Elephas maximus indicus: one gene and its partners. The protein of the gene in region 1 purifies or fractionates together with the protein of each later gene. This does not show direct contact. Links are inferred from orthologs where the notes say so. Each region holds a gene or a part of one and is shown in the gene's direction. Other genes may lie near its edges. The genes, in order: CLK3, GPATCH8, FKBP5 and PSME3.

Region 1 (7,790 bases):
GAGATCCATGGGCTCTGCCTCAGTGGGCCCTGAGTACAGAACAGACTGGAGTCTAAAGCTGGAGCAGTCCCTTCCTCCTAGAACACCCACCTTTGAGCCCCCTCCTCAGATGCAGAAACTGAGTCCCTGGGGTGAGCATGCACTCAGCCCCACCCCCTTGGCCCAGGGTTCTCTCTGGTTATTCCAGTTTCAGATAAACCCCAGCCTCGGCACCACTAAACAGTTCTCAGTTCTAACAGTTCCCGTGTGCTGTGGGTGCTGACCGCCAGCCAGGCCACCTACTGAATAAACACCACCTCATTTCACACTCACGGGTACCCGGCTGGGGGCTGTGCCGCTGAAGCTCAGAGGGGGCATTCAGTTGCCCCTGGTCACTGCAGGGCAGGGAAGAACGGCCCAGTAAGCAAGGTAGGCACAGGATTACTTCTTCTTGCTTACTCATCTGTAGAGCACAATTTCACCTGTTCCTTACCGTGTTAAAGATGTTCTGAGACCCATATGAAACTGTGCACTACAGATGATAAGTAAACACAATTAAGCCCGTGCCTACCTTGCTTGCTGGTTAATCCGCCCCTGCTGCAGGGAGTCCCTGCAGAATGGGGATTCCCACCCAGCGCTGTCAGGCACTAGAGCGCACACTCACCCACCCTGCTGCCCTGCAGCGCTCCCCTTCCAGGTGTGTGAGTCTGGTGGGCAGTGGTTAGGAAACAGTAGGGGCCAGGGGAACATTTCAGGGCCAGCACAATTTAGCTAAAGGAGCCCTGGTGGCACAACGGTTAAGTGCTTGGCTGCTAAGAAAAAGGTATGGGGTTTGAACCCACCCAGCAGCTCTGCAGGAGAAAGACCTGGCGATCTGCTCCCGTAAAGATTCCAGCCTATGATTGCTCTGACAGAGATCACAATAGAGGGTCGCGGACAGAGCAGGAGAAAAAAAAGTAGAACAAAATTCAAATTCACAGAAAAAGACCAGGCTTATGAGTCTGACAGAGACTGGAGGAGCCCCTGACACTATGCCCTCCGGATACCCTGGTAACTCAGAATTGAAGCCACTCGTGAAGTCCACCTTTCAGGCAACGATTAGACAGGCCTTTAAAACAAATAATAACACAGGAGAGGAACGTGCTGTTTTAGTTCAATCAAGTATTCAAGACCAAATGGGCAACACCTACTCAAATGCAAAGACAAGAAGGCAGGAAGGGACAGGAAAACTGGAGGAATGGACATGGAGAACCCTGGGTGGAAAGGGAAAGGGGGACAGTGCTGACACATTGCAGGGGTTGCGACCAATATCACAAAACGGTTTGTGTATAAATTTTTGAGTGAAAAGCTAACTTGCACTGTAAACTTTCACCTAAAATACAATAAAATTAAAAAAAAAGATTACCCACCCACTGCCATCGCAGCCTAGAAAACCCAACGGGGCAGTTCTACTCTGTCACGTGGGGTAGCTATGAGTAGAAGTCAACTCAATGGCACCTAACGACAACAACAACATAGTTTAGCTGTGATGTGGGGGTCAGAAGCCCCCAAACTCCTTGCTCTGATACCTCTTCAGTTTCCATAACTGCAGCTGTAACACAGGGGCCCTGACACCCATTCCCCACCAGCTTGTGGTAACTCATGAGGCAGACAAGGACTACTCGGTGGGTATTATCCCCTCACACTCCTCCTATCCCCACTCTTCTTACCTCCAGGGCCTCAGAGTCCTACCACTGTCTCCTTCCTCCCAAGCCTGAGCGCCAGGTACCCAGGCCCAGGCTCCGTGATGGCATGGAGGGTGTGTGGCCCAGTCCTGGAAGGCTGTCTCCACCTGAGGAGAAAGAAGAACTAGGCTGAACCTCCCCTCCCCTCGCCCTGATGTGCCCATTCCTCATATACCCAGACCTGCTCCCACCTCAGGATGGCACTGCCATCCACCAGGCCCTCTCGCCTCTAGACACCTTGACTACTCTCCCCTCCCTCCAGGCCCAGGTCCCTGCAGCCCAGGAAATGGGAACCTGACTCTCCTAGGGGCTCCCAGGAAGGTTTTCCAGGGGAGGTAACCCTGGGGCTGAGGCTTGAAGGTGAATTAACTACCCCTAGAGAAGAGAAAAATGGATGTGGCAGACAGAGGAGAGAGCATGAGCAGCAGGACAAGAGGGGGATCAGAACAGCTGGGGCCTGGAGGGGCAGTAAGCTGAGTCTGCGTTGAGGGTGGCCAAGTGAAAAACCAAGAGGGGCAAGGCTGGCCCTAAAGAGGAACTGTGGGGCCAAGTGGCTAGGAGCCGGGCACAGGGCGGAGGCAAGACCTCGGTGCTCTTGAGTCATGCTTTGGACCTCAACAGAAAGGACCTGGTGCGGGCAGGGGCGGGCGACTGGGAAAAGAGCTTGGGTCTTCAGGGCAGGGCTGTGGAGCAAACCTCTGGAGTTGGTCCACCCCCTGAGCTCCCGGGCCAGGGGTTACCAGGGACTTATTGCCAGGCAGCACGGGAGTATGAGAGTGGTGCAAGGGCAGTTCCACATACATCACATCAGGGTAGATCTTTTTCCAAGTGCCTATTTGGTGCCCTGGTGGCACAGTGGTTAAAATGATGGACTGCTAACCGAAAGATCAGTGGTTAGAAACCACCAGCAGCTCCACGGGAGAAAGTTGTGGCAGTCTGCTTCCTTAGAGATTTACAGCCTCGGAAGCCCTGTGGGGTGGCTGTGAATCGGAATCCGCTCAGTTGCAGTGGGTTGGTTGGTAGGTTATTTGATACCCTGTTTCACATTCTGCTCAGGTGTGAGTTCTTTTAGGAAGAAAGAGACAAAAGAAAGAAGACTTACTGGTAGAATCTCAAGCCCAATGGCTGCCTGACTCCAGATTTTGGAGAGTTAAGGAGCTGGGAGATGGCTCCTATTTCTCTTCAGAAAAAGAGAGAGCTGCTTCCTCACTGGGAGGTAGGGACTCCTGGTTTCCTGGGGGTAGAGGGCTTGGGGGAAGATGGGCCTAACTTACCTCCTCAGAGCCTGGTGCCCAGAGCAGAGCTGGGGACAGGAGCCTCTCTGAGGGCCTTGGCGCCTCTCAGCTGCCCGCCACAATCCTGGCTCCAAGGAGCCATGGAAACCGCGGGCAACACTAGGTGGTGGGAGGAGGAGCCACCAGAGCCCTCCCACCTCGTATGAGTGGATGAAACCCCTAGGAAGAAACCTGGTTGGTGTGTCCACGGCCTAGACCAACGAAGCATTGAAGCATTTGGAGCCCGGGCATAGGGGTGGGTAGGGGTTGTGGCACCTCAGGTGCCTGCCATTTTTTAACCCCCTGGCCCCTGAGGCAAGATCCTGAGGGGGCGAGATCTGAGGGCGGCAATAGCCAGGTTCTGGGTCACCCACTGCACACTTGAAGTGGCTCTAGAATTTCTATATTGGGGGCAGCATTTGATTGGCAGGAGGACTCGGGCATGGTCTTGAGGGGGCATTAGCGTAGCAAGCACCCAAGTTTTAGGTAGCTTCTGTGTTTATTTTGGGTGGGAGTGGTGGAGGAAACCGAGATTTGGGGGATGTAAGCATCCCTCAAGCCACGTCGTAAGACTCCAGTTTAAGGGGGCGCCAGAAGCGAAGTACTATAGGGGGAATGGTCGCCTCTGACCAGGCAGCCGGGGCTTGGAGACCGCGCCCCCAAGTCAGGGGCGTGGCCAGTTCTCATTGGGGAGGGGGCGGGAACTGGGCGGGGCCGGGGAAGAGAGGCAGGCGGGCGGCCCGCCTCCGCCCTGCCCCGTGAGGTGTTGGAGAAACCCAGGCCGCCCATTGGTGGATGGCAAGAGCTGGCTGTCCAGGGGAGGGGGCGGTGCCTGGGGAGATGCCCAGCCCCGCTCACTCCGGCCGGGAGAGGCTGCGGGTTTCCAGCGCTCGCTTGGCTTGGGGGCAATTAGGGGCCGCTCCCGCTCGTTTAGCTGCGCGACGCCCGGGAGAGCCCGGGGGCGGGGACGCCACTCCCGGATCGGGCGGGGCGTGCGCGCCACAAAATGTGAGGTCTCCCAAAGGGCCCCGGACCTCAGTTTCCTCATTTGGGAAATGAGGCTTCGTAATCCCGCTCTAGACAGATAGGAGGGAGGCGTTATGGTGATGCCATGCTCGGGGGCCCTGCATGGCGCGAGGCTTTTGTTTGGCTGGGGCTTACTGAGAAACAATGCTGGCCGCACTAAGACGCTCTAAAGGTACTCAAGGGGGAAGAAGACCCCCTGCCACCTGACCCCGACCCCTCCAAGATGCCCCACCATTGTGGCTCTCGGGTATATTCCCAAAAACTGTTTTGGATAAACACACAAACACACATTTCATTTGCTTTTTTCACACAACCGTTGTCACCACCGCCTTCGTGAGCCTCTGGGCCCAGGTCTCCGCCGTCTTTAGTTCCCTCTTGGGCCCCGTGGCCAGGTGGACCGCAGTAACCCCCGTTTTCACTGTCGTAACAGGGAAACAACGACCGTCCCCTCCGCGCACAGAAAAGGGGTTGGCGGACACGGGCGAAGCTCCGCCTTTCGGCTCCGAGCACCCCCGCCGGGCATGGAGAGGCTCGGGGACCAGGCACCTGTCAGGTCTGGAGGGTTTACGTGCGTCGAGACACGACAGGGGGCGGGGCGAGCCGCCGCCGCCGCCGGAGCCACCCCTCGGCCCTCCCGGAGCTAGTCTCGACTACTCTGCGGCACCGACCGGAGCGTGGAAGGCCAGTCCCCCAGAGCCTTCGAGTCAGGGGCTAGAGCGTCCCGGCCACCGAGCCGAGCCGACCCGGGGCTGGCGACGCCTGCGTCACCCGGGGGGCGGGGACGCCACGGGCGGAGGCCGGAGCCGGAAGCGGAAGAGGTGCTCGGAGCGGGGAGTGGGGCCTAGCCGCAGCCGGAGCCTGGGAGACGGTGAGTGTGGGCCTCGGCCCGCGACGACGGCTGCGGGAGGTGAGTCGGGCGGGGCGGCCTCGCCGGGTGCGGGTTTCGGGTGTCCCGGTTTGGGCTCGGTCCGCGCCCTTTCTCTTCCTTTACCAACCTCAGGCCGCAGCCCCGACCCCTCACCCCTGACCCGCTGCTTGTCGCCCCGAGGGCGAGCACGGCGGACCTCGAGCTCTCGATCCCGTGGTGTCGGAGTGGGAGCCAGAGCAGCCTCTGAGGCCCCCTCTGTCAGCCCCTGCAGGGACCCAGTTTCGGCACTGCGCCTGCCCGAGGAATGGGGTCGGGGTCCGACCTGGGATAGCCTGGAGACTCCTTCAGACTCCTTGGCTCGAGCCTTGGTCCGTAGGTCCCTCCTCCCCGCGTGGCCTGGAGTTGGATTCTGGCTCACACCGACCTGCCCCCACCACCTGGGTCCCTCCTCCGCCATTGACGGTGGTTCGGGGGGCACGGGGCTCCTAGATACCCAAGACCTGGGGCGCCCGAAGGGACCCGAGCGAAGGCCGCAGGCGCCTGTGTGTGTTTTGTTGTGATGATGGAGCCGCTCCAGCCCCGGGGGAGGGGCCCGGCCAAGCTGACAGCCCAAATGCCCGGCTGCTCCTCAGCCCGGTAGCCTCTGTGCTTTTAGTTCCGGGTGCGAGTGCCCTGGTGTGGAGCCGGTGTGGGAATTGCCCGAGCCAGGCCCCGGTCGAGGCGGAGTTGGCGGGCTTCCAGCTTCCCTCCTCCGTGCCCTTGAAAAGGAGGAGCGTTTCACCCCGTTGTGGCGGCTTGCGAGGTGGCAAGCTTGAGGTTGCAGTGGCGGGGCAGTGCCAGCCAAAAATAACCGTGGGGCGCTGGGGTGGCAGGGCTCCGGGAGGGCAGTCGCTGACCCGGCTGGCTGCACTTCTTGTCAGCCCAGTTCTCTGGCCAGGAACAGCAAATGAGAAGCCGACTAGGCCTGTGCTCCGAGGAGAAGAGCTGGCATCCTCGGCCTGGTTTCCTTCACATTACCTTTTTTTTTTTCCCATTGTGTAGAGCAGAGCCTCCTAAAGCATGATCGTGACCTTAGCTTCCTAAAATAACCTGTTTGCTGGGGTCTCAGTGGATCTGAGGCAATGGATGAGAAATGGGCTCTTGTGCTGTTGGTGGGAGGCTGAGGAGGGGGTCTGGTAGGTCCAGTAGCTCACCTGCCTAAAATGCGGTAAAGGAGAGATGATTTCTCCTATTAGTCTTGCCTTGCGTGTAGTACTTTATAGCTCTCATGCTTGTCATCTCCTTTGCCAAGTTGGCTGGGAGGTAGTGTTATCTCTACTTTCCAGGTATGGTAGCCGAGGCCTAGAGTGACTTGTATAAATTCACGAGGACAGTAAGTGACAGCACTGAGAATTAGGTCAGGGTTTTCTGCCCAGAACTGTCTTCCCCCAGGTTCCCAGGAAGGGACTTATAAAGTGTTCTTAGTGCTCTTAAGGCATTTAACAGAGGTCCAAGTTGTTACCCGGAATGTTTTTCATTTTGTTAATGAAAAGTTGCCTGTAGTACCACTTGTGGGCCCAGGCCTATGCTAGGCAGTTGGTTTAGAGGAGACACATTAAATCCTCACAAACACTTGTAAGAGATTGTTATCCTGTTATTGCAAGAGGAAGCTGAAGGATAGAGCAGTTGAGTAACTCGCCCAAAGGCACACAGCTAGAAGTGGCAGTGCCAGGCTTCAGACTGACATCTGTCTGCCTCTGAAGCCTGGGCTCTTTCCACTAACATGAAGTGTGTGGACATGTGTATCTTCCAGGTCCTGGGAGGGAGGCTTTGGCCTGGTGTGGACTAGACCAAGTCCTCCTGATGCTTTGTCTCCTAAGCAAGGAGGGCCCATGCCAGGCCACTGGAGCTTTCATTCCACAGCTTGGGCACCTGCCCCAGGGTAATGGCAGGAAAACAGTGAAACATTAGTCACCTAATCAACAAAACAGAACAGCAATCCAGGTCTTAGGGATCTGTCAGTGATTTTCTGTATGTTTATCTCCAAGGATTGCTGAGGGCTGGGCCAGTACCACTTCCTGGACTTCCCAGATAGAGAGGGGACATCAGCTACTGGGGAAATGGAGGGCAGTGACTTTGTCAGGATCACCGAGGAGCTCCCAGGAGTTTGGTCAGATTGGCCTCTTTGCCCTGCTTACCCCAGGGGGAGCCATTCCATGCTGCTCTCCTCTTGACAGACCTTTCTGCCTTGATGGTGCAGCCTCAGTGGGTTTGTCCGAAATGTGCTGGTCAGGTGAGCCCAGGACTGACCATGACCAGAGGCTGGCTGTGGCCAAGTGAAGGATTGGCCTAGCCTTCCCATGGAGGCAGCATCAGGGTTTTGGATGTAGGTGGAAATGGGGGCTGGCCTCACATAGCCACTTTTCTCAGCTGGTACTGGTCCAGCCTGGCGATTTCCCGTGGCGGATATAAGTCTTTGCTTAACAGGGAGAGTGGGGTGGGGCCCTTTGGCCTGCCTGCCTGTGCAGGCAGCCAACCCCTCTGCTCTTCCTGAGATGGGAACAGGAGCCAGTACTGGAGCAGGGGAAAGAGAAAAGGGGACAGCAAAGGTGATGTTGGAGAGAGGTGAGGCACTGCCCAGCATGGCACTGCAGGTGGTCTGAAGGGTGCTAAGTGGGCCTCTGGCAAGAAACTTGGGTGCTCGGAGGACCCTGGCATCCCAAGGGATACTGAGACCAAGTGATGACCAGTAAGGGCTGGTCAGACTCTGGGGTAAGCTGGGGAATATTTGTGAGACCCTGTATGCCTCTTTTTCCGAGGGCTTGTCCTCTCATCTGTGGCTCCTCACATTGACTTGCGATCCTTACTCCCTTGAGTAGGGTCCACTTCAGGGCCTCAGCCAGGAGACTTTAGGCTGAAGGTGTTTCCCCGCTTGCGCCC
Region 2 (7,274 bases), on another chromosome or scaffold:
GTTAAGAGCTACGGCTGCTAACCAAAAGGTCGGCAGTTCGAATCTGCCCAGCGCTCCTTGGGAACCCCATGGGGCAGTTCTACTCTGTCCTATAGGGTTGTTATGAGTCGGAATCGACTCAACAGTGATGGATATGTGCCAGTTGGGAGCCCATAGGAGCTCATAGGGGTGGTATGAGTTGGAATCAACTTGACAGCAATGGATTTGGCTTTGGTATAGATGTGCCAGTCGTTGTTCTGGGTGCTGGGAATATAGAAGTGAATAAAACTGAAAAAAAGTCTCTGCCCTTGTGGAGGTTATATTCTAGTGGAGGAATATAAACAGTAAGCAGAAGTAAGAAAATTATATGTTAGAAAGTGATAAGTACTATAAAGAAAAACAAAACAGGGGAAGAGGCTAGGGAGTTCAAAATATATAAAAAAAAATTTTTTTATATAAAAAAAATAAATATATAGGGCTCTGTAATTTCAAATAGGGTGATCAAAAAAGATCTTACTGAGAAAGTAACATTTTGAGTAAAGACCAGGAAATGAGGGCGAAAGCCCTGTGAATATCTGAGAAAGAATGATCCAGGCAGAAAGAACAGCATATCCATAAGCCCCAAAATAGGGCAGGCCGCAGCAGGAGCAGGTCTGGTGTGCCCAGAGAGAAGGGAAGCAGGGAGCATAGTAGAAGATGAGGCTTGAGAGGGAGGTGGTGGTGGTCAGTAGACTTTATACTGTAAATGACAGAAAAAGTCACTCGAAAGTTGGAGCAGAGGACTGACGTGATCTGACTGACTTTTTAATAGGATCACCATAGTTGCTGTACAGAATGCAAGGGACAAAGGTGAAGCAAGGGTAACACTTAGTAGCTACTGCAGTAATTCAGGAGAAAGTGAAGAGTGAAGGTGGCTTGGACCAGGGTATCTTTTTACTCTGTTTCCTGAGAGATTTCCTCAACTTTATTTTCTAACCTTTCTATGAAATTTCTCATTTCTGCTTAAGAATTTTGAATCTCCAAAAATCTTTCTTTATTTCCAAATATTTTTTCTTTTTTGGCATCCTATCCTTGTTCCCTACTACGATCTCTATCTCTGTGGATATTGATTATAACTCTCTTGATGTTTCTTTCTGTTCCTTTTATCATCTCTGTTGTTGGTAGGTGCCACTGAATCAATTTCGACTCTCAGTGACGCTATGTGACAGGGTAGAACTGCCCTATAGGATTTTCTGGGCTGTAATTTTTATGAGAGCAGATTGCCAGGTCTTTCTCCCTGGATGGATTCCATCTGCCAACCTTTTGGTTGGCAGCCAAGTGCTTAACCATGGAGCAACCAGGGCTCCTTCATTATCTCTGGCGCCTCTGAATTCCTTTTTGCTGTTTTCGTGTGTGTTTTGAGGGAGGGTATCTATGTCTTTCCTGTTACAGATTTCCCCTCAAATGTCTGGTAATCCTTGGCTATCCATTTATACTTAAGAAACGCATTGCCATCAAGTCGATTCCGACTCACAGAGACTCTACAGGACAGAGTAGAACTGCCCCACAGGGTTTCCAAGGAGCAGCTGGTGGATTTGAACTCCTGAACTTTTGATTTAAAGCTGAGTTTTTAACCACTGTGTCACCAGGGCTCCTTAATACTTAAGAGTGAGGCATTAAAAAGCTGAGTCAAAGCTCTGTGTAGATGGGGCTTGCTGTATTATGGGCTTCTTTTTATGGTATTTGGGCAGGAACTGACATTTTTGTTGACAAATCTCCTCCTTCCCGTTGTTGGTGCTTGTACATTTTTTTTTTTTTCTCCCTAAACAAGTCAGTTTCCCCAGGGAGAGATTCCCTTGGTCTCTCGCTGGAATGCTGGCTTTTACTGTATCCTCCTGTTTTCAGCTTGGCACCCCCTACCTCAGCTGTGCTAGACATGTCAAAACCCAGTCTTCTTGGTTCCAGTTTTCTAGAGGGTAACCTCCAGCTTGCTCCCCTAGAGAAGGAATGGAATTTAGGGTCTAATTGCTCTTAAACTGCCTTGTAACCAACCAATCCTCCTGTTTTCAGCCTCATCCACACTCTCACCTTAAGAGTTACCTAGCAATGACTCCAATTCCCAAGATTTTCTGGTGTTCTTCACGAAAATCAGCTTGTTTCCTGGCTTCCCCTACTCCAGGACTGTCTCTACTCTCTCAAAGCCATTTCCACTTATCTATGCTCTCTACCTTCTAAAATTTTGTTGACATCTCTTGTCTGTTGTTGTCCCCCTCCTGCTCTCTTTGTCCATGTGAGTTTATACCCTTCTCATCCCTTTGTCATTTTAGTGGGGTTTGGAGAGAGAGAAGTAAATTTATGATGTGTACCTACGTGATTCAATCTGCTACTTAACCCTCAAGTCACTTTACGAAGTATGAATTCAATGTGTTCTGCCTCCGCTTAGATGGGGATGTCTTTTCACTTCTTAGAGCTGTTTCATAATTGGCCTGGGGGTCAGGTAGGACAGACGGTAACAAAGGAATAGAAGATCAAAGGAATAGAAGATAACCACACTTCCTCCAAACAATTACATTCCATTTTATTTTCTCAGGGCCAGGGTAAGGGCTGCTTTTCCATTGTGTGATTTCTGTGCTGTTGCTATTTTCAAAAACAGTCCCAGGTTCTGCTCAGTGCGACTCTTCTCAGCCAAACGAGAGACCAGAGGTGGGAGAGTAGAAAGGCGCCTCATTTGGTTGTATAAAGAAAGGAGACAGTTAGGGCTGCTGCCAAGACTGCTCAGGGAGGGCAAGGGGGAAGGTTACTTTTAAGGGGTTTACAAGTAGGAAGTTCATGCAAGTTACATCAGCAACTCTTAATCATACTACACAGGCATCATGTGTTCAGAAAATGGTTAAACTCTACCCAGAGGCGGGGAAGTTACTATGTATGAGGTCCAAAAGGTTATCCTGAATATCAGCATGGCGCCTAAATTGGTTTCTGCCAATTTTCTCCAGTTTGGGGGAAGCAGTTAAGGAGAGGGGAACCAGGATTTAAATGTAAAGCTGGTGGGAGGAGGCTTGTCAAGCAAAGGAACCAGGATTCTAATGTAAAGCTATGGGTGTGCCAAGCAAGCTGCTTGAAAAGGTGGAATTTTCTGCAGCCTGGGGACCACTGTCTTACTCATTGGACTGCTACCCTAAAGGATGGCAGTTCGAATGCACCCAGAGGTGCCTCAGAAGTAAGGCCTGGCAATCTGCTTCTGAAAGGTCACAGCCTTGAAAAACCCAATGGAGCAGTTCTATTCTGCACATGGAATTGACTCAAAGGTACTACTACCACCAACAGCTCTTTTCAAAAGCAGTGAAGTCCTGCCACACCTGTGTGTTTTATGTACTTTAGCTAAGGGTACTAGAGGGCTGGGTGGGATCCTCAGGAAGGTCATAGGATTGATAAGTCTGATTTATGACCCACACAGTCAGTGCAGAGCTGGAGGGTTTAAAAAAAAAAAAAAAACCAACCCAAGCCAGCTGCCCTTGAGTCATTCAACTCACAGGAATCCTACAGGACAGAGTAGAACCCCATAGGGTTTCCAAGGAGTGGCTGGTGGATTCAAACTGCTGACCTTTTGGTTAGCAGCCAAGCTCTTAAGCTTTTCACCACCAGGTCTGGAGGATACAGATTACCAAACTCAATTTCTTTATTTTAGAAAATGGAAACAGGCCTAGAGAGCTTTAGCTGAATTGGATCAACTGTTCAGACCTCTGAGAAATAATACTTCTTTCAAACGATTGCTTGTAAATGCCAAACTCTTTCCATTCATAAGGCTTTTTGGTCTAATATTCCTTCTGCCTCAAGACCTTACAAGGCTGCAGGCCCCCTTCCGCTTCTCAGGTCAAAGGCCATTTCAGAGGTCATCCTTCTCATCATGGCACCCAGTTTTTTTTTAAATATACTTATTAATAGCTGAAGTTGTGTAACTGTCAGTTATCTGACTTCCCCCATGGAACGTAAGCCCTTTGAGAGAAGGCATCTTTTCTGGTTAGTTCACCGTTTGTCCTCAGGGCAAACCAGGATTTGAAACAAAGTAGAACGGCTCTAAAGCCCGTGCTTTCCGCCGCACTATATTACGTTGTTATTTGATTAATTAAATAGACGATGGACCTCTGCATACACAGGGAGCCAGGAGGGTAAGAAAAGGGCTGTAAACCGGCAAGTGAGCAGCTGGAAAAACAGCCCGACTCATCCCCACCGTGTTTCCTCTGACCTTTCCCTCCGGAAGCGCTAAGCGCCCCAGGGCGCGAGTCCGCACGCGTAGCCGCTGGGGTTGCTCCGGGCAGCGCGCTGAGCGGTGACGCGAGGGAAGGTTCCGCCTCCGAGGCTGGAAGGCGCCTGCGCCGGCGGGGTTTCCGTCAGGACGGGCGTTCTGGCTCACTCCCTCCTTCCCTCCCTCCCTCGCCTGCGCGCGTCCGGTGGGCGTCGGAGGAGGCGGGGAACGGGGGAGGGAAAGTAGAGGGGGCGGGTGTCGCGGTAGGGAAGGAGTGAACCGGAGAGCGTCGTTCTGAGAGGAGTGAAGGCGGCAAGATGGCGGACCGCTTCTCCCGCTTCAACGAGGACCGAGACTTTCAGGTAAACACCGGCGCAGCCGAGGACCCGGGGAAGGCGCCGGCCGAGTCTGGAAGCTTCTTCATCCTTGGCTCCCAGATCTGTTTCCTTCCAGGCTCTGCTTCGGCTTCCGAACCCGCTAGCCCTCCTCCCACCTCCGTTTTCTCAAGGGGCCTCCCAGCTTGAGGCGAGGCCGCATCTTCTCCCACCCGCATTCTCTGACTTTAACTCAGGCCGCTGGATCTGCGGCTTCGACCTGTTTGGGCTTCGGCTGTCGGAACCCCAGCCTGGGGGCAGTGGGGGACGTGCGCCCTGCGGGGCGGCCGGGCCTGTGGAGGTGCAGGGCTGACTCCCAGGGGGGAAAGAGGGTTGCGCTGGGAGGATGGGGCGAGAGTTGCTGAGGCCAGGGCTTCGGAACCCCTGGATTTCGCTCATTCGAATCTTCTTGGGGCCCTTCTCCCGTCTCCCCTCACTATAATAATCCTTTTCATTGCCCATTTTTCCATTTCTTCGCCTGCAAAAAGGGTGCCTTAGTTATCAGACGCGTTCTTGGTTAATCAGACATTGAGATTTCACTGGCCATAAATGTTGCTGTTGTTAGGCCGTTCATTGGTCTTGGACAGCAGTTTAAGTTATACGACTGTGGTCGATGTAAGCTCAGTCAGTCCCAAATCCTACCTAGAAAGATTTGGGGGGACGTAATGACAAATGGGCTTTCTGAGCATGTGAAAACTAGTGCCAAAAACTCGATTTTTTTTTCTCCAGTTGCAGATGTTGGTGTGGAAAAATGGCAAGCATTATTGGGGAAAAACTAAGGCCAGTTTAGAATAACTTGTCCTCTGACTGTTTAAAATACCTTACTGTCGAGTATTGTTAGTGTGGAAATCTCCGAAACTAAGAAAGATTTAGTAGAGGTTGACTGTTTCTAGGGTAAAATACATTCTGAGTGTCAAAGAAACCACTGCATTACTACCGCATACCCTGGCAACAGCAATTTGGGTCAGGGGATGAACATCAGAACTCAAGTTTTTTATCCCGCTGCGGATCTTCCTTAAAGCAACGTGAGAACTACTCTAAATGTGGTTCAGAAGGCCGTTTGAAGGATTTGAATTCCCTGAGGTGAATGGATTAGTAAACAGGTAAAGCTGTTTAGCAGTTTTTAAACGGACTCTGTTAACAGTCTAGTACATAAAAGCGTTGCGAGAAGTTTTGCAGCGGTAAGAAGGGGGGGCGGCTGTTGAAAAGCCCTGTGATCATGCGCCTGCTGTACAGCTGCAGTACACAATACAGGATCTCAGGGTGTTTTAAGGATATGATACAGGCCCAGGGAAGTTGGAAACAGTTTATATGGGCCATTTGATTTCTGAGGACGATTACTTCTTTACAAACACCATAAAACATGAATAGGCTGCAAAGTATGTGGACTTCATTGGTAATTTTTAAAGAGACAAATTGATAACACCCTGAAATACTTTTTAGACGTGAGAATTTCAAGGTGACCTGATAAAGCTGAAAATAGATAAGTATGGACAATTTTTAGAGGAAAAATGGCTCTCAACCACAGAATTACAACAGACTTAAAAAAAAGAACCCAGAGTTTGCAGGGGCTTGAAAGAAGGTTTTGAAAACCATGGGTAGCAGAGTGTGAATGCTGTCACTTGAAAAAATTGAGGCTAGCCTCTAGTTTTTCAATACCTAGTTTCTAAGAAGGATGATCCTCTGCTGTTTTAGTTGGGTTTATGTAAAATCTCCTTTTGGTTGCTTGGTAGTCCTTTGAAGATACTACATGTATTTTAAACTTATTTCCTGCTTTTATGTTGAAATAACCAACTCCTGTATTGGGTCAGGAGCCCTGGTGGCGCAGTGGTTAAGCGCTTCGGCTGCTAACCAAAAGGTCAGCAGTTTGAATCCACCAGCTGCTCCTTGGAAACCCTCTGGGGCAGTTCTACTGTGTCCTATAGGGTCACTATGAGTTGGAAAGGACTCGACAGCAAGGGGTTTGGTTTTTTCGGTTTGTATTGGGTCAACCAGGGAAATGTTTTTTTTTTTTTATTTATTTAGATGTCCTAGCGTTTTGGTTTAATAGGCTATTGGGAGTGGAAATCTTCTAGACAGTTAGGAGATGTTAAAATTTTTGTAAACTATTGTGCTAACATTTCTCAAGAGAATTCATTTAAAAATACATAAAGTAGCATTTTCTCTGTTTTAATAAAAGGAAAACAGATTGACTTTCATGAAGAATGTCCTTTGATTTAAAGTTCTTGGGGAGGAGAATGTAATGTAATAGAACACCCTTGTGTATGGCGTATCTGAAACATTTTTCAAGTTCAGGTTATTTGAAATTAAATCTAGGTTATAGCCTACCCCCCCAGAAAAGAAAAACTGTGGCCTCCTTTTCAGGTTTTTAAGTGATAAATGAGGCGAAGTCACTGAATATTGTGGCTACTTAGTGATAATAGGCTTGAAAAATACTTAGTAGGTTTTCAAACACAGTATATAGGTCCTGTTCTTTAAACATCTTCTGATAGCACTGGAAATTTCCTTGTGCCATCTTCTCTGGAAAGTTCTAAATGACTTACTGTTTTATTTGCCTTTATTTTGGCAAGATAATTTAGAATTGTAAAATTTCACTCTTTGGCAATTTACCATCAAGTGTAAAATGTTGGTGAGTTTGTTGTCTCTTGTATGGAGTCAGAGAGATGGGCTTATGGATTTTGTGGCACTAATTTCAAAGG
Region 3 (7,283 bases), on another chromosome or scaffold:
TGGCAGAAGTGATGTGTCAGTTCTGGCCTCAGCCTTAAGAAGGTCTGGCAGTTGCCTTGTTTTGGCTCTGGGGGAAGCCAATTGCCATGTAAGAAGTCTGAGTATCCCGAGAACTGGAACCTAATCAAGGAACCATGCCCAGCTGGATGTCAGTATTGCTATGGACCTGTGACTGCTGTGTGCCGCCATTTCCTCTTTTTTTTTTTTTTCCTCTCTCTCTCTCCTTTTTGAATGGAGGCATCTATAGCAATTTTGGAAACCCTGGTGGCGTAGTAGTTAAGAGCTATGGCTGCTAACCAAAAGGTGGGCAGTTCGAATCCACTCCTTGGAAACTCTATGGGGCAGTTCTACTCTGTCCTGTAGGGTTGCTATGAGTCGGAATAGACACAATGGCAACAGATATAGCCATTTTCCTTTCCCCACCTCACCATCGTATGTTGGGCAAGTGGGGAGCAGATGAGTTAGTTGTCTCTTCTATTCGGAGGTCTTCAGACTGAGAGGAGCAGCACTTGAGAAACCTCATTTATACCCGCGCCTGATTTCGATGATACAATACATCAACTGTATGTTCCGTATCTAAGGAGAGAAAAGCCAACCTTGAAAATTATAGCAGGGAACTAGGAGATATAAGAAGTGACACAGCAGATGTGAAAAAGAACCTAATAGAAATTCTAGAACTAAAAAATAAAATAACCAAATTATAAGAGCTAAAAAAAGAAAAAGAAAAAGCTGAAGAGAGAAATAATGAACTGAAAAATAGAGGAAACTTACCAGAACAAAGAATCCAAAAAAAACCCAGTGCCTTTGAGTGGATTCCGACTCATAGCAACCCTATAGGACAGAGTAGAACAGCCCCACAGAGTTTTCAAGGAGCATCTGGCGGATTTGAACCGCTGACTCTTTGGTTAGCAGCCGCAGCACTTAACGACTATGCCACCAGGGTTTCCAAACAAAGGATAGAAGGACAAAATATTGAAAAAACAGACGGAGCGGATGGAGTGAGAAAGTTTTATGTGTTTCAATTGTAGCCACAGAAGGAAAGAAGGAAAGGGACAGAAACAATATTTGAACAAATGATGGCTGAGAATTTTTCAAAACTGATGAAAAGCTATTCAAAAGGTAGTAGGCAGCCATGAAATGACAGCGATCCATTCCACTAGGTGTTCTAACTCTTAAAATAGTACACACTTTGTGTACCAAGCTGCCTTTGAAAAGATTCTGAAACCAGAATGGAGTAGCTCCATAGTGAATAATAGGGCTTGCGTGCACAGTTCAAGTACAAGTTCTATCATTTTCTAGCTGTGCAGCTTTCCCAACTAGCAAATGGGAGTCTCTGGGTGGTGCAAATGGTTAATATGCTTGGCTGCTAACCGAAAAGTTGGAGGTTCGAGTCAACCCAGAGGTGCCACAGAAGAAAGGCCAGCCATTGAAACCCTATAGAGTGCAGTTCAGCTCTGCAACACATGAAGTTGCCATGTGTCAGAATGGACTCAGTAGCAACAGTTTTTGTTTTTTTTTTAATGGGACTAGTAATAATGACCTTTCGTGAGGATCAAGTGATACAATACGCGTGAACAAAATTAGTAAATGCCAAGTGCTTTAAATATGAGCTGTGGTTTGAGCAGCGCCAGGCTGGCCACAAGCATGCCCAGGGGCATGAACAGTGACGGGTAGGACTGGCTACATAATTTGTGAGGCCCAGTGCAAAATGAAAACATGGGGGCTCTTGATGAAAAATTAAGAGTTTCAAGATGGTGATTGCAGAGCATTAAACTAAGTGCAGGGTCCCTCTAAGTGCAGGGACCTGTGGGACTACACACGTCACATGCCCATGAAACCAGCCTTGAAACCAGACCCTGTGAAGAACTACGGTGTGTGGTAGGACAGGGCTGCTCGTCCCACACCCAGGTGTCTGCAGCTGTGGCCCACGTCATCTTTGGATTCTGAAGGGCAGCAATGTTTAGGGAAAATGCAAGCACACGAGTTTCTAAATGCCAAGGAGGGCAAGTGCAGTGACCGGAGTGGTTTTCTGAGGGAGTGGGTGGGGCCAGCCAGGCTGCCGTCGGAACTGTAGAACTGACTGTTCCCCACAGACTCCAGCCTAGGAACAAAAAAAAAAAAAAAAGGCTGCAGCTGTATTGACAGGGCCTGTTGTTGTTTGCTGCGGTGTGTTACAACACAGCCTGGCAGCCTCCCGGGCCTTTCTGTCTTCCTCCTGGAAGAGCCTGGTCCCCGAACATGTGACGCAGCCACACAGTCCTGCAGATTTGTCCTCGGCGTTCCCTCAACCACCAGAGCTGCCTGATTTTTCTCATACTATCCCTCCACTGCCTGGGAGTCCCTGTCCTTCCTCTCCCATGTCCCTCTATCTTCGTCTGGCAAACACCTACTCCATCTTTTAAGACTCTGCTCCAGTGTCACTTCCTCAATGAAGTCTTCTCTGGCTCCCCCAGGGAGAGCTGACTCCTCCTCCTGAGGACCCTCTACTGTATACTATATAGACATCTGTCGCAGCCCCTGTAATCTGAGGAGCACTGACATGCTATGTGGATGCCACTGTCACCTAGGCTGAAGCCCTCAGCTAGAGCAATGTCTTCTCACCTCTGTATACCCTACACGTAGCACAGTACTTAATACTTGCTGTCATAAAGCAAACTGGATGCTTAATGCACGAATGGTTACATGCTTGACTACTAGCCAAAAGGCTAGTGGTTCAAACACACCCAGAGGCGCTTCAGAAGACAGGCTTGGCCATCTGCTTCTGAAAGATCACAGCCTTGAAAACCTTATGGAGTAGTTTCACTCTGACACATATGGGGTCGCTATGAGTCGGAATCGATTTGACGGTAACTAACAACAAATGCTTAAATTGGTGTTAGTATGAAGAGTAGTTTTGTCTTGCTAAATTAATGTAAGAACAAAGTGTCCCAGGAACTCTTCCCAGCAGCTGCAGAGAGGGGAAGCTGCTAGGCACTGAAAAAAAAAGGAGACATAAAATGACTAAGACAGGGTCCTTGCCCTTGAGGAGGTTTTAGTGTTGGCCCTATGTCTTTTCTGCAGCCACCACCTTTTGAAGGCAAGGAACAACTAGGTACCACCCAGCATGGTGACTTGTAGTAAAGGCTCTTCATAAAAACTTAAATGGCCAACACCATATAGTGGAAAGAAGGCAGATTTGGAACTAGGAGGTGTGAGTTCTGACCTAGCTATGGGACAATAGCTTTCCAAAGGTAATTATTAGATCTCATAGGTATCTAAGGAGCCCTGGTGGTGCAGTGGTTAAGTGCTCAGCTGCTAACTGAAAGGTCAGCTGTTGGGACCCACCAGCCACTCTGAGGGAGAAAGATGTGGCAGTCTGCTTCCTCAAAGACTACAGCCCAGGAAACCCTGTGGGGTGGTTCTACTCTGCCCTATAGGGTTGCTATGAGTCCGAATCGACTTGATGGCAACGGGCTTGGTTATGGTATAGGCAACTAGCCGTGAGACTTTAGGGATGTTTGCTCAGAAATGAGGGACTTGAGCTATATAGTTCCTAAGGCCCAGGAACCCCTCATGACTATGGGAGCTACTGGGGAAGCCCATCTAGTTTGAGGGTGGGGTTCTCTTGAAGTTGACCTTGCTTAGCAGGCCTGCCCTTTTTTGGGGTGGGGGAAGAGGTAGAGCAATTTTTAAGGTCCCTTCCTGTCTCAGTTGCCTGGGATCTCATGTTTGAAAGGTAGAAAGCCATGGGAAAGCATGGCCCTGGCAGTCACTGGTGAGGTGCTGTGTGCTAAATTGGTTCTTGAGGTGCGGTTTCTTCAGTCTTGGCTGGGCGTCTTCGACTTCATGGGGTCATTTCCTGGGGCTGACCTGGCCTGCCCCTCTCCGTCCTCAGGGCACGCCTGGTGGTCAGATAAAAAGGACAGAGTTTTCGGAGAGGCGATATGGGTGTTAAGTCAACTAGCTTGTTTAGGCGTAATTTCTCTGGAGGTGAGGGAAAGTGTGTGTGTGTGGGGGGGTCGGTCAGCTCCCTCCATCCTGTCCCTCAGACCCCCACAAAGGTCCAGGGCCAGACACGTGGGCTGGTGAGGGGAGGCGGAGGTAGCATTAAGGCGGAGATGCAAATGAACGGGGCGGGGCCTGATTTACATGGACGGCGCACGGCCACCAATCCGGACACGCAGGGAGACAGCCCGCGCGCCTTTTGGGGGCGGACTGACAGCCCCAGGGCCCTATGGAAGGCGGGTCCTGCGGCCGGCGGGGGCGGGACAGCGCCGGGCGCTGCCCGGGGGATTGGGGCCGGCTCGCAGGCGCTGCCAGTCTCGGGTGGCGGCGTCCGGCGCGCGGGCGGGTGGCCTGCTGGGCGGGCTGAGGAGCGAGCGGCGCGCGGGTGAGGCGGAGAGCGACGGATCCGGCGAGCCACCGCAGCGACAGGTACCAGCGCCATGGCCGCAGGGATGGGGCGGGCGGCGCCCCGGGAGCCGAATTCCCTCATTCCGGGTCCCGCCACGGCCGCGCCGCCTTCTCGCCCCTCACGCAGGTCCCCAGCCCGGGAGCGGCTCGCGGGGCTCGCGGGGCCGGGGGAGCCTCGAGCCGAGGGCGCCAGGACGCCCAGCCCCCCTGCGGGCCCCTAGCGGCCCCGCCGACCTCGGGGCCGGACCTCGCTCCGGGAGGCGCGGGAGCCGCTCCGCCCCCGCTGCGCGCCCCCTGGTCCTCACCCGGCTTTTGTTTCCCGCCCGGGCTGACAGGTCCCGGCTCCCGCTCCTGTCTGCGACCCCGGCTGCCCGAAGGCAGGCGGACCCGTGACCGCGGAGCGGCGCCGCGGCCGCCGGGAGGAGCGTGAGTAGCCGCCGCCGCCGCCGCCAGCCGGAGAGAAACTTCGCCTTCCGGGGCCCGGGGCGGCGGGAGAAGTGGAGCCCGGGCTTGAGCTGCGCGCCGGGACGCTCGGCGGGCACGAGCCAGGCTCCCTCCCGCGGCGGGGCCCGTGGAGGGCGAGGATAACGGAGCGTCCCCGCGGCTGCCCTCCGCGCCAGTTCGCGCTCTCCCGGCGTAGCCAGCCCGATGGGTGTGGATGGGCGTGCCGCCTTCACCTGCCGCCCGGGAGCGGCGTCTGGAAGCAGCATCCCTGCGCCTCGGCCACTTGTTGGAGGGGCCGGTGCACGGCTCCTTGAACTCGTGATTCAGTTATGCGCTGGGCTGCTAACCTAAAGGTGGGCGGTTCGAACCCACCCAGCAGCTCCGCGCAAAACGACCTGGCCATCTGCCTCGTGAAGATTACAGCCTAGAACACCCTAGGGGCAGTTCTGCCCAGCCAGATGGGGTCGCTGTGAGTCGAAATGGACTCCACGGGCACCTAACAGCAGGGCCAGATGAAAGCCAGTTAAAAGTTGTTTTAGGATTCCTCCTTCTGTTCAGCCCTGGCGCTAAAGCCTTCTACTTTTTATCTGTCTTCTAAAGATGTGCTGGCGAGGAGTGTATGAGTCAAAACCAGGATTGAGACAAACAGTTTGAGGGTCAGGGTGTAGATTGCCTTTTCGACTCACAAGCCAGGAGGAACATTTTAGTCTCCTTTCAAAAATGGGTTTCTGCAGTGGTGGGGAAGGCGTAGTAAGGTACGAGTTGTAAGTGGAGACTGCAGGACTCCAGATCGCCTTCCGTGTGGTTCGGAACAGCGTGTACAGCCTTTGGCCGCCATTCAGTAAATTCTGCATGGAGCAGTTGGAGCTCGTGGTTTGGATTGACTCTTCAGGAGTGTGTTTTCCAGTGGACTAAGGTTTAACGTTGAATGGGAGCTTTCTTTGCCTTTCTGAGGGTAGACTCATACAGGAGTGTTTATTTTTATTGTCTTTGCATTTTGTTAGATTGTGGACTAGGGAAAAGTTAAGGCATATTTTGGTTAATTATTTTTAAGTCTGTGGGAGTTCCATTCCCATTCCCCCCCGCCTCCCCATATCAAGATTTTTACTTTAGAGAGTTATAGTAGCTGCTTCTCTTGGGGTTGAATCAAAATGCAAGGATAGACTTAAAAAAATTCTTATTCTGGTGGGATTTTTTTTTTTCCTGTCATACCCTCACTTACCATTTTCTATTTGTCTCTTTCTCAGCGGACTTCTGCCTAACAATCTGCAATTATGGCCGTGACCAGTTTAGGGCATCTATAGAAATAATCTCATATAGGGTCGCTATGAGTCGGAATCGACTTGACGGCACTGGGTTTGGCTTTTTTGTTTGTTTGTTAAAAGAAATAATACATTTTTAAAATTTGGGTTATTAATAACACTTGTCTTTCGTGAGAAACACTTTAGTTTACTCAGTTTCTTTTTCTTCAGCGTCATTGTATTGGACATGATTTACACTTTAGAGATTTAGCTTTTTAAGAACAAAGTTACTAATTTTGATTTAGATGAGTTATGCTACTTTGTTAGTGTTTTATTGAATGATAATTTTACTTATTTACCTAGGAACATCATTGTAAAATGGACACTTTTGTCAACAGGTTAGTCGTGACTATTTCAGATTTAAAAAAAGTCTATATACATTTGGTTTTTAAAATGTTTTATTTCTCTAAAACACCAGGCTTATATATTATGAGGTCTTTCTCTTTCCAGCATTTAGTTATGGGAATTTGGGGTGAATTTCTTTTTTAAAACAATATTAACCAGTTAAAAAATGAAAAGCTTAAAATACTGGATTAGACAATTAAATCTTAAATTTTCTGTTTATTTTTGGATTGGAGTAGATTACATATTTCTGGTTTTTTAGATTCCTGTAGGGTTGCTATAAGTCGGAATTGACTCAACGGCAACAAGTTTTTTTTTTTTTAAAGTCAGTTGAGGATGAATTAGTCCAGAGAAAAGAGGACGTGTTTTTCTATAACTAAACTACTGCTATAAAAAACTGAGTTGGCTTTTTAACGTTTAGTGAGGATACATTGATTGAATAGTGAGTCCTTATGTAAACTGGGTTCTGTTCTGTATAAAGAATTGTGAGGAAACTTACAAGATGGGCTGTAGTTGTTCTGAGAGATTTATATAATTGTTCTTTAAAATGTATAGGAATGTGCTACTTTAAATACAACTAAGTGTAATAGAAACTATAGTCCTTGTCCTATGATGAATAATTAAATATCATAAGTTAAAGTTATATTTTGTAGATTTATACAAAAGCATATTTTAGGTGATTTAAATATGAAGTACCTTTTAATTAAGGGCTCATCTTAAAATTCAGTTTTTAGATCATTTAATTACTGAATTTTGTCCACTTAAATTTGTGGTAGACTATATTATAAAATCACCAACACACAT
Region 4 (7,255 bases), on another chromosome or scaffold:
CACAAAGCCTGAGAAAGTGAAAAGGGATGCAATCCAACACACAAAAGGAAGAGTGAGGATTTAATGGTAGCAGGGATAGTTCTTTCAGTGAAAGAGGAGTAAAGTATTTGCAGGTTGGCAGATTTAGTGGCCACCACTTGTCTGTCAGTTTGTGCTAAAAAGCAAGATGTCACCTTGAGGACTAAGGTTCACTTGACCCAAGTCATGATATTTTCAATCACCTCACATGCATGTGAAAGCTGGACAATGAATAAGGAAGACCAAAGAAGAATTTATGCCTTTGAATTAGTGTTGAAGAATATCGAATACGCCACAGACTGCCAAAAGAACAGACAAATCTGTCTTGGAAGAGGGGACAGCCAGAGAACGCTCCTTAGAAGCAAGGATGGCAAGACTTTGCGTCACTTTATCAGGAAGGACCAGTCCCCGGAGAAGGACATCATGCTTGGTAAAGTAGAGGGTCAGTGAAAAAAGAGGAAGACCCTCAATGAGATAGAATGACACAGTGGCTGCGACAATGGGCTCAAAAATAGCAATGACTGTGAGGATGGCACAGGACCAGGCAGTGTTTGGTTCTGTTGTACACAGGGCCACTGAGTTGGAATTGCCTCAGTGGCACCTAACAACAACAGGTTTACTGGTGGAATGAAGTACTCATTTGCTCCTGTTTTCTCAATGAAGTTTAAGCAAAGACCATACGCTGGAGGTGAGGGGGGGATGTTGGAGGTTGAGGGAGATGACAAGATAGGACAGTCATTTTGGAGTGTGGGAGAGGAAACTTGACGGAAGCATGCCATAGGCTCTCAGGTAGTGTTGTACACTCATTAGAGATTTGGGGACACGAATTTAAAGTGTCACGAGTCATCAGTGATTATGTGTGATTTACAAACACCCAGGAATGAATAGTGCTTGTTAAAAATACTAGGTCCCTGGTCTAACGGAGACTGGAGAAAGCCCAAGTATATGGCCCCTGGATACCCTTTTAACCCAGTACTGAAGTCACTCCCGAGGTTCACCTTTCAGCCCAAGATTAGACAGGTCTACAGGGCAAACAATAACACATGTAAGCAATGTGCATCATAGCTCAATCATGTATATGAGACTAAATGTGCACACAAGCCCAAAAGCAAAGATGAGAAGGCAGAACGGGACAGGAAAATTGGATGAATGGATACAGGGAACTGAGGGTGGAGACGGGGAGTGTGTTGACACATCACATCTTTGGCAACCAATGTCACAATACAATTTGTATATTAATTATTTAATGAGAAACTGATTTGCTCTGTAAACTTTCACCTAAAGCACAATAAAAAAATTGGAAAAAAAAAGATAGTGGTGCCCTCAGCAATTGTTTGCTGAATAAATAAGTGAAGTATCATTTAAAACATCTGGGTTGGAGAGAAGGAAGGGAAATAAAGAATGTGTATGTCTTCTTATAGCCTACTTGAAGGAGACAAAACATAATGACTTGAGAACAAAGTTGTATTTCAACAAGCACAAGCATACTAAACTCTCAAGTTGAAGTTACAAATGCTGAAGGAAATGCAGAGCATTGGCATAGGGAAAATAGGATGAAGTTAATTTGGGAAAAAATTCCTAAAGTTTCAGATCAGATTTCAAAGGTTACTTGGGACATACATTAACGGGAGAGGTAAAAGCATTCGAAAAGTGTTAGAAGTTAATGAAGCAAGATGGGTAGTACAGGATGTTGTATGCAGTCTTGAATAAATGAATGAATAAATAAAGCTTAAAAGCAGGGATGATGATAATTATCAGAGTTTAACGAGTAATCTCTTTATGCTAAGCACTAACAAGTTGTTCATCTGACAATAACTGTTTAGTTCCTGCCTTGTGCCCAGTGTGTCAGTTGTTTTACATATATTTCTAATATTCAACAACCCTACAAAATTATATTTTATTACTAGTAATTATTAAAATTCAATTTCGTAGATGAGATTGAGACTCAGCAGTTCAGTAACTTTGCCAACATTCCAGTAAGGAGGTGAGGCAGGCTTTGAAGCCAAGTCTCTTGGACTCCATAGGCCTCCATTTAACTGTGTATTCCTCTCCTCTCCCTAGCACTTGCAGAGTTCTGCCCAGGGTAAATGTCGTTACCGCTAACCCCTTTCTTTACATCCTTTAGCTCTCTGCTTAAACATCACTTCATTGAGAGGCTTCCTTGGCTATTCTAAAATAAACCTGGTGCCCTATAGTCGATTCCAACTCATAGTGACCCTACAGGACAGAGTAGAACTGCTCCATAAGGTCTCCAAGGAGCAGTGGGTGGATTTGAACTGCCAACCTTTTGGTTAAGAATGGAACTCTTAACCACTGTGCCTCCAGGGCTCTAAAATAGACCCCTGGAATTCTCTCTGTCAGCCATTTTCCCCCAAACACTCATTGAATTTTGCAAGTATTTTATCCGTTTACTTTTTGGTGTCTTTCCCTAACATTAAGCCCCATGAGACTAGAGTCATGTTTTCCTTTGGTTTCCCAAAGCCGTGCTGTTCAATGCAGGAACCACTAGCCACACGTGGCTGGCTCTAACTGAGATGTGCAGTAAGCGTAAAATAAGATTTTGAAGACTTGGTATCAAGAAAAAAAAAAAGTAAAATATATCATTAATATTGATTACATGTTTTTTTTTGTTAGAGTATTTTTATATGCTGTTAAAATATGATTAAAATTAACTTCACCTGTTTACTTTTTTAATATGGCTACTAAGAGATTTTAAACGACATTCGTGACTCACATTGTATTTCTAGCTTCTTGGACAAAACTAAGTGAAATAAGCAATGTTAAGAGATAAACCGGATAAATTGATGAGTGAAGAGATACGGCCTCTGCCTTCCCTTAGGAAAATGGATACAGCATTGTCCTAGAAATCAAGACATCTGGGTTCTGGTCCCGGGTTTATAGAAACACCGTGTAGCCCTGGACGAGCCCTTCCTTACTCTGGTTGTCATTTTGCACATCAGCTAGTTATCTCTGAGGTCTGGAAGTTTACGAGACGAAGAGGAGAAAAGTGGGGCAGTCTGGTACAACGGAATCTGTCTTCTGTTTGGTTCTAGCCTCAAACACTTGAGCTTCTTCTGTCCACGAGATAACACAGCAGGAACCGCGTACTTCAGCGAACTGAGCGCTGGGGAAGCCGGCTTCCTTGGGCGGACGTCACTGGGCTGCGACGGCACTGACGCTCTTGTCTGCGGGGCGGCACCAGCTCCGGAGTTCGCTTCCGCGAAGGCGAGCTCCAGGCCAACTGAGGACCAAACAGTTCTTGAGCCTCTAAGAGGCTCGGTTCTCAGTACACAACCCTCCGCCGTCCTCCCTCTTACTTCACCTTTACAGGTAAGGGAGCCCGTCAGAGCGCGCAACAGACCGAGAAATATGAGCTCCGCCCTTGGGCGCCCAAAGCCGAACCCCAGCGCGGCTGCGCAGGGCACGTGTGTGTACTCGCTGGAGTCCCGGCGATTGGCTGTGACGTAACTTCCGGTGTGAGCGGCGAAAGCCGGGAGGGCGAGCGAGAAAGAGAGCAAGCAGCAGGCTGCAGGCAGGCAGGCGGGCAGGCGGGAGGACGGCACGGAGGGAGCAAGCGAGCAGTAAGTGAGCCGGCGAGGTCATCGGCGTCCCGAGGACAGCAAAGATTCCCCCCGCCTTTCTGGCCCCCTCCCCGGAGCCCACAGCGCCTCCGGTTTACAGCGGAGCGGACACGGCCCGGCCCGGCCATGGCCTCGTTGTTGAAGGTGGATCAGGAAGTGAAGCTCAAGGTAGCGCACCGGTCCGAACATCCTCACCCCCCGCCTTGTTCCCTCAGCAGCCTGACTACTCCCCACTCCCATGGCGTCTTTGTCTCCCTGGGGACTCCAGCTCTGAGCTTCCGCTCGGCTCAGCCCAGCCCCCCACTGCCGGAGACGGCCCCAGTGGGAAGGATAATATAGGGTGGCCTTTAGTGGCCCGTCTGGTGATGGAGAGCCCCGGGGAGACCTCGGCGGGCACGTGTTCGCCTCAATGCTTTGGGCTAGTGACAGCTGGAAATCCCCCAACCCAGCAGTGTCCCCGCGCCCGGACACTGCTGCTGCCCCTGCCCTTGGCGTCAGGCTTACCCCATACCATAGGCTAGGTCTGGTGGGGATTGGCACGTTTGTGAGCTCACATCCTCCATCTACCTGTCTATTGTCCCCTGTCACATCTAGACAGCTTTTGACACAGGGAGGGGGGGAAAGAGGGTGGGAGGGAGGAGAGGAAGAAAGGCGGAGGCAGCCTTCAAGCCCCGCTTCCCTCTCCTAAGATGGAAAAATGGATCCTCAAAAAAATAAAGTATTTGCAGTCTGGGGGTCTGTCAGCTTCTCATTACAATTACAAGGTGAGGGAAAGGCAGCTAGATTTGAGATTCCCCATCTTGCCCTCACCTCTGTTGCCAGGCACTGAATTTGCTTTTACCGAATTGCTCTCTTTGTTAATTTTAGGTTGATTCTTTCAGAGAGCGGATCACAAGTGAGGTGAGTGAAATAGGGAGAAAAATTCATATGCTGATTAGTAGTTGAGAGTTTCCCAAAGTGGAGAATATTTGTAGAGAAAGACCTTCCCACAGTTACTAATTCAGCAGTATTCCCTCACCCTCACCTTTAGGCAGAAGACTTGGTGGCAAATTTTTTCCCAAAGAAGTTGTTAGAACTTGATAGTTTTTTGAAGGTGAGAGACCTTTTTCTTTCCTCTGTTTTCCCCAATCTCCCCTGTTTTTTTGGGTGTGGGAGGGCTCTGGTCTTTTTTTTAAATGGGACAAAGTGTATGTTGATTCTATTTTGTTTTGCACCGTCAAGCACTGCCTCATTTCTTGCCCTTCAAATGAAATACTTCTTTGTTCAGTTTGAAAAGACTAAGGTTTTTTGGGGGGTGGGCATTTCTGTTTCAGGAACCAATCCTAAACATCCATGACCTAACTCAGATCCACTCAGACATGAACCTCCCGGTCCCTGATCCCATTCTTCTCACCAATAGCCACGATGGCCTGGACGGTGTAAGTGTCGTTTTATATGTATCTTTCTCTTCTTAAGCCGTAGGTTCTTGGTTGTCTGCTCCCTGGTCAGTTCGAACATGTACAGAGGGAACAGTGGAATTTGGATCTGGGAACCAGGACTCTGACTCTTACGGGCGTGACAACTGTAGCACATTCCCTTTAGACCCTGATTTACATCCATGGCATGAGATTATTCTTCTCCTTTCACTCTCAGTGTAGAGGAGTAAACTCACTACAGCTTCTGTGAGGTCATGTGGTCTGTTCCCGCACCTTTAAGCAAGGCTTTTCTGCTCTTTCTATTCTTAATAAATTCTTCATGCCCTATAGCTCCAGTCCCTGTCTTTGCTGTGCTTCATTATTTTTCAGAACCCAGTCCTTATCATTCATGTAATTTTGTTATAACATTAGTCAGACTGTATTGTTTTTGTCTGCATTACTGTCTGATGGACAGAACTTGCACTTTTGGAAGACTGAAAGTGTCTTAATCATCTTTGTATCCTCAGCACCTAGCATTGTGCCAGGTGTACAGAAAGTGCGACATGTTTGTTGATTGAATATCGTGTTCAATATTCAATATTTGTGGAACCAGGAGATTTGTACATATTCCCTTAATTAACCTCACCCTGCATTAATCGTTCCTTTTCTGTATTTTTTATAGTATCCTTCCCTCACCCCTCTTCCCCCAATTGCTTAACGTCTTTCATTTCTTGAAAGGTTGGTCTTCCCAACTAGGGTATTAGTTACTTTGTGCCAAGAACCCTGTCTTAAAGCCTTAGATAATCTTAGTAAACTGTACATAAATTGATAAAACAACCCATGGGGTTGAGGAAGGAATTAAACTTGCTTGAAAGGTAACTGGGGATGTAGACGTCGAGGGCAGGCCAATTCACGCCTTTTTTGTATCCTTAGCCCACTTATAAGAAGCGAAGGCTGGATGAGTGTGAAGAGGCCTTCCAAGGTAAGAGCCACCCCTATACCACTGTTGACCTGCGTCCCTGAGAAGCGGGGTGGATCTGGTATTCTCGCCAGGAAACAGGGTCTGGTTTTATTTCCCAGAGTCGGCATTCCTAAGCACTCCAAACGCGGTCATTATTTAGCCCTACACCTAACTTTCTAATAAAGAGAGGGAGGGTTTGACTTGTGGACTGCCAAGGGAGAGAGGCTGTAGACGGAGTCTACGTATCCAGACGTTCATGGAAGTTCCACTTCCATGTTGTTTTTCCCACTTCAATAAAATCGATATATTAAGTCTTTGGTGTATACGTTTATTTTAATTTACTTGTCCTTAAGGCTTTTGGCAGGCTTTAAGTATTCATTGGTTAATACGTACATTCTCTTTCTGATTCTGATAGTGGTGCCATGGTTTGTAGATAGGGTTGTGACAAAAGGCAGAGGTCACAGCATCTCGTGGGTATGGGGAAGGAGAGAGAAAAGTGGAGGATGCTATGTCCTCCTCCTCTCCCCAGTCATTTGACCTTCGTGTCCCTGCCAGGAACCAAGGTATTTGTGATGCCCAATGGGATGCTGAAAAGTAACCAGCAGCTGGTGGACATTATTGAGAAAGTGAAACCTGAGATCCGACTACTGATCGAGAAATGCAACACGGTGAGGCAGAGGCCAGTGACCTGTGGAGCGAAATAGCCCCGCTTGAATGGTGAAAAACGATGGCTAGGGGGCTGGAGACATGGAGATGGTCTTGGGGGTTGGCAGGCTAGGTGTCTTGGCTCTTGCGTTCCTGGCATCTGGCCCCAGCAGCCCAAATCGTAGACTTCAGGCATTCAGCAGAAAAGGCAAAGGTTCTCATATATGTGCTTTGGTTCTCCTACCTTCCAGGTCAAAATGTGGGTACAGCTCCTGATTCCCAGGATAGAAGATGGGAACAACTTTGGGGTATCCATTCAGGTAACATGCTTGCTTGGTTGTAAACTGGAAGGAAAGGTTTGGAAGATGTTCCCATCTCCCTGCTTTATCTGTGGCTGCTGCAGGGTAACATGGGAGTGGCTTTCAACTCACTTGTTTTTTGTTTATGTTTTTTCAGGAAGAGACAGTTGCAGAACTAAGGACTGTTGAGAGTGAAGCTGCCTCTTATCTGGACCAGATTTCTAGGTAGGTCTGCTTGGACTTGGTCCAGGAACTGGGGGCTGTGAGGTGGTGGGTACTGGACCAGGGTCTCCTGCAGCTTCCTCTTCTCTCTCTTTCCAGATATTATATTACAAGAGCCAAATTGGTTTCTAAAAT

What was found.
Region 2: the proteins of CLK3 (region 1) and GPATCH8 purify together in Homo sapiens (affinity purification with mass spectrometry; 3 studies listed by BioGRID and IntAct, counting the BioPlex papers as one, with this or other methods). This does not show direct contact. The link is inferred for Elephas maximus indicus from reciprocal best matches to the Homo sapiens genes CLK3 and GPATCH8.
Region 3: the proteins of CLK3 (region 1) and FKBP5 purify together in Homo sapiens (affinity purification with mass spectrometry; 3 studies listed by BioGRID and IntAct, counting the BioPlex papers as one, with this or other methods). This does not show direct contact. The link is inferred for Elephas maximus indicus from reciprocal best matches to the Homo sapiens genes CLK3 and FKBP5.
Region 4: the proteins of CLK3 (region 1) and PSME3 purify together in Homo sapiens (affinity purification with mass spectrometry; 5 studies listed by BioGRID and IntAct, counting the BioPlex papers as one, with this or other methods). This does not show direct contact. The link is inferred for Elephas maximus indicus from reciprocal best matches to the Homo sapiens genes CLK3 and PSME3.

What each region holds. Positions count from the first base shown.
Region 1 is NC_064831.1:64,685,837-64,693,626, forward strand, and holds the start of CLK3 (dual specificity protein kinase CLK3), read left to right. Parts: upstream 1-4,783; 5' UTR 4,784-4,871; exon of another isoform or gene 4,872-4,910; intron 4,911-5,193; exon of another isoform or gene 5,194-5,273; intron 5,274-7,790. Other genes in the region: ciliary rootlet coiled-coil protein 2, read right to left, coding at 1-29, 313-442. UniProt on the Homo sapiens protein: Dual specificity kinase acting on both serine/threonine and tyrosine-containing substrates. Phosphorylates serine- and arginine-rich (SR) proteins of the spliceosomal complex.
Region 2 is NC_064837.1:51,005,688-51,012,961, reverse strand, and holds the start of GPATCH8 (G patch domain-containing protein 8), read left to right. Parts: upstream 1-4,260; 5' UTR 4,261-4,518; coding exon 4,519-4,563; intron 4,564-7,274.
Region 3 is NC_064819.1:99,356,611-99,363,893, reverse strand, and holds the start of FKBP5 (peptidyl-prolyl cis-trans isomerase FKBP5), read left to right. Parts: upstream 1-4,278; 5' UTR 4,279-4,413; intron 4,414-7,283. UniProt on the Homo sapiens protein: Immunophilin protein with PPIase and co-chaperone activities. Component of unligated steroid receptors heterocomplexes through interaction with heat-shock protein 90 (HSP90).
Region 4 is NC_064837.1:49,667,352-49,674,606, forward strand, and holds the start of PSME3 (proteasome activator complex subunit 3), read left to right. Parts: upstream 1-4,247; 5' UTR 4,248-4,288; coding exon 4,289-4,363; intron 4,364-4,466; coding exon 4,467-4,499; intron 4,500-4,629; coding exon 4,630-4,692; intron 4,693-4,912; coding exon 4,913-5,017; intron 5,018-5,926; coding exon 5,927-5,975; intron 5,976-6,509; coding exon 6,510-6,622; intron 6,623-6,850; coding exon 6,851-6,919; intron 6,920-7,055; coding exon 7,056-7,123; intron 7,124-7,219; coding exon 7,220-7,255. UniProt on the Homo sapiens protein: Subunit of the 11S REG-gamma (also called PA28-gamma) proteasome regulator, a doughnut-shaped homoheptamer which associates with the proteasome. 11S REG-gamma activates the trypsin-like catalytic subunit of the proteasome but inhibits the chymotrypsin-like and postglutamyl-preferring (PGPH) subunits.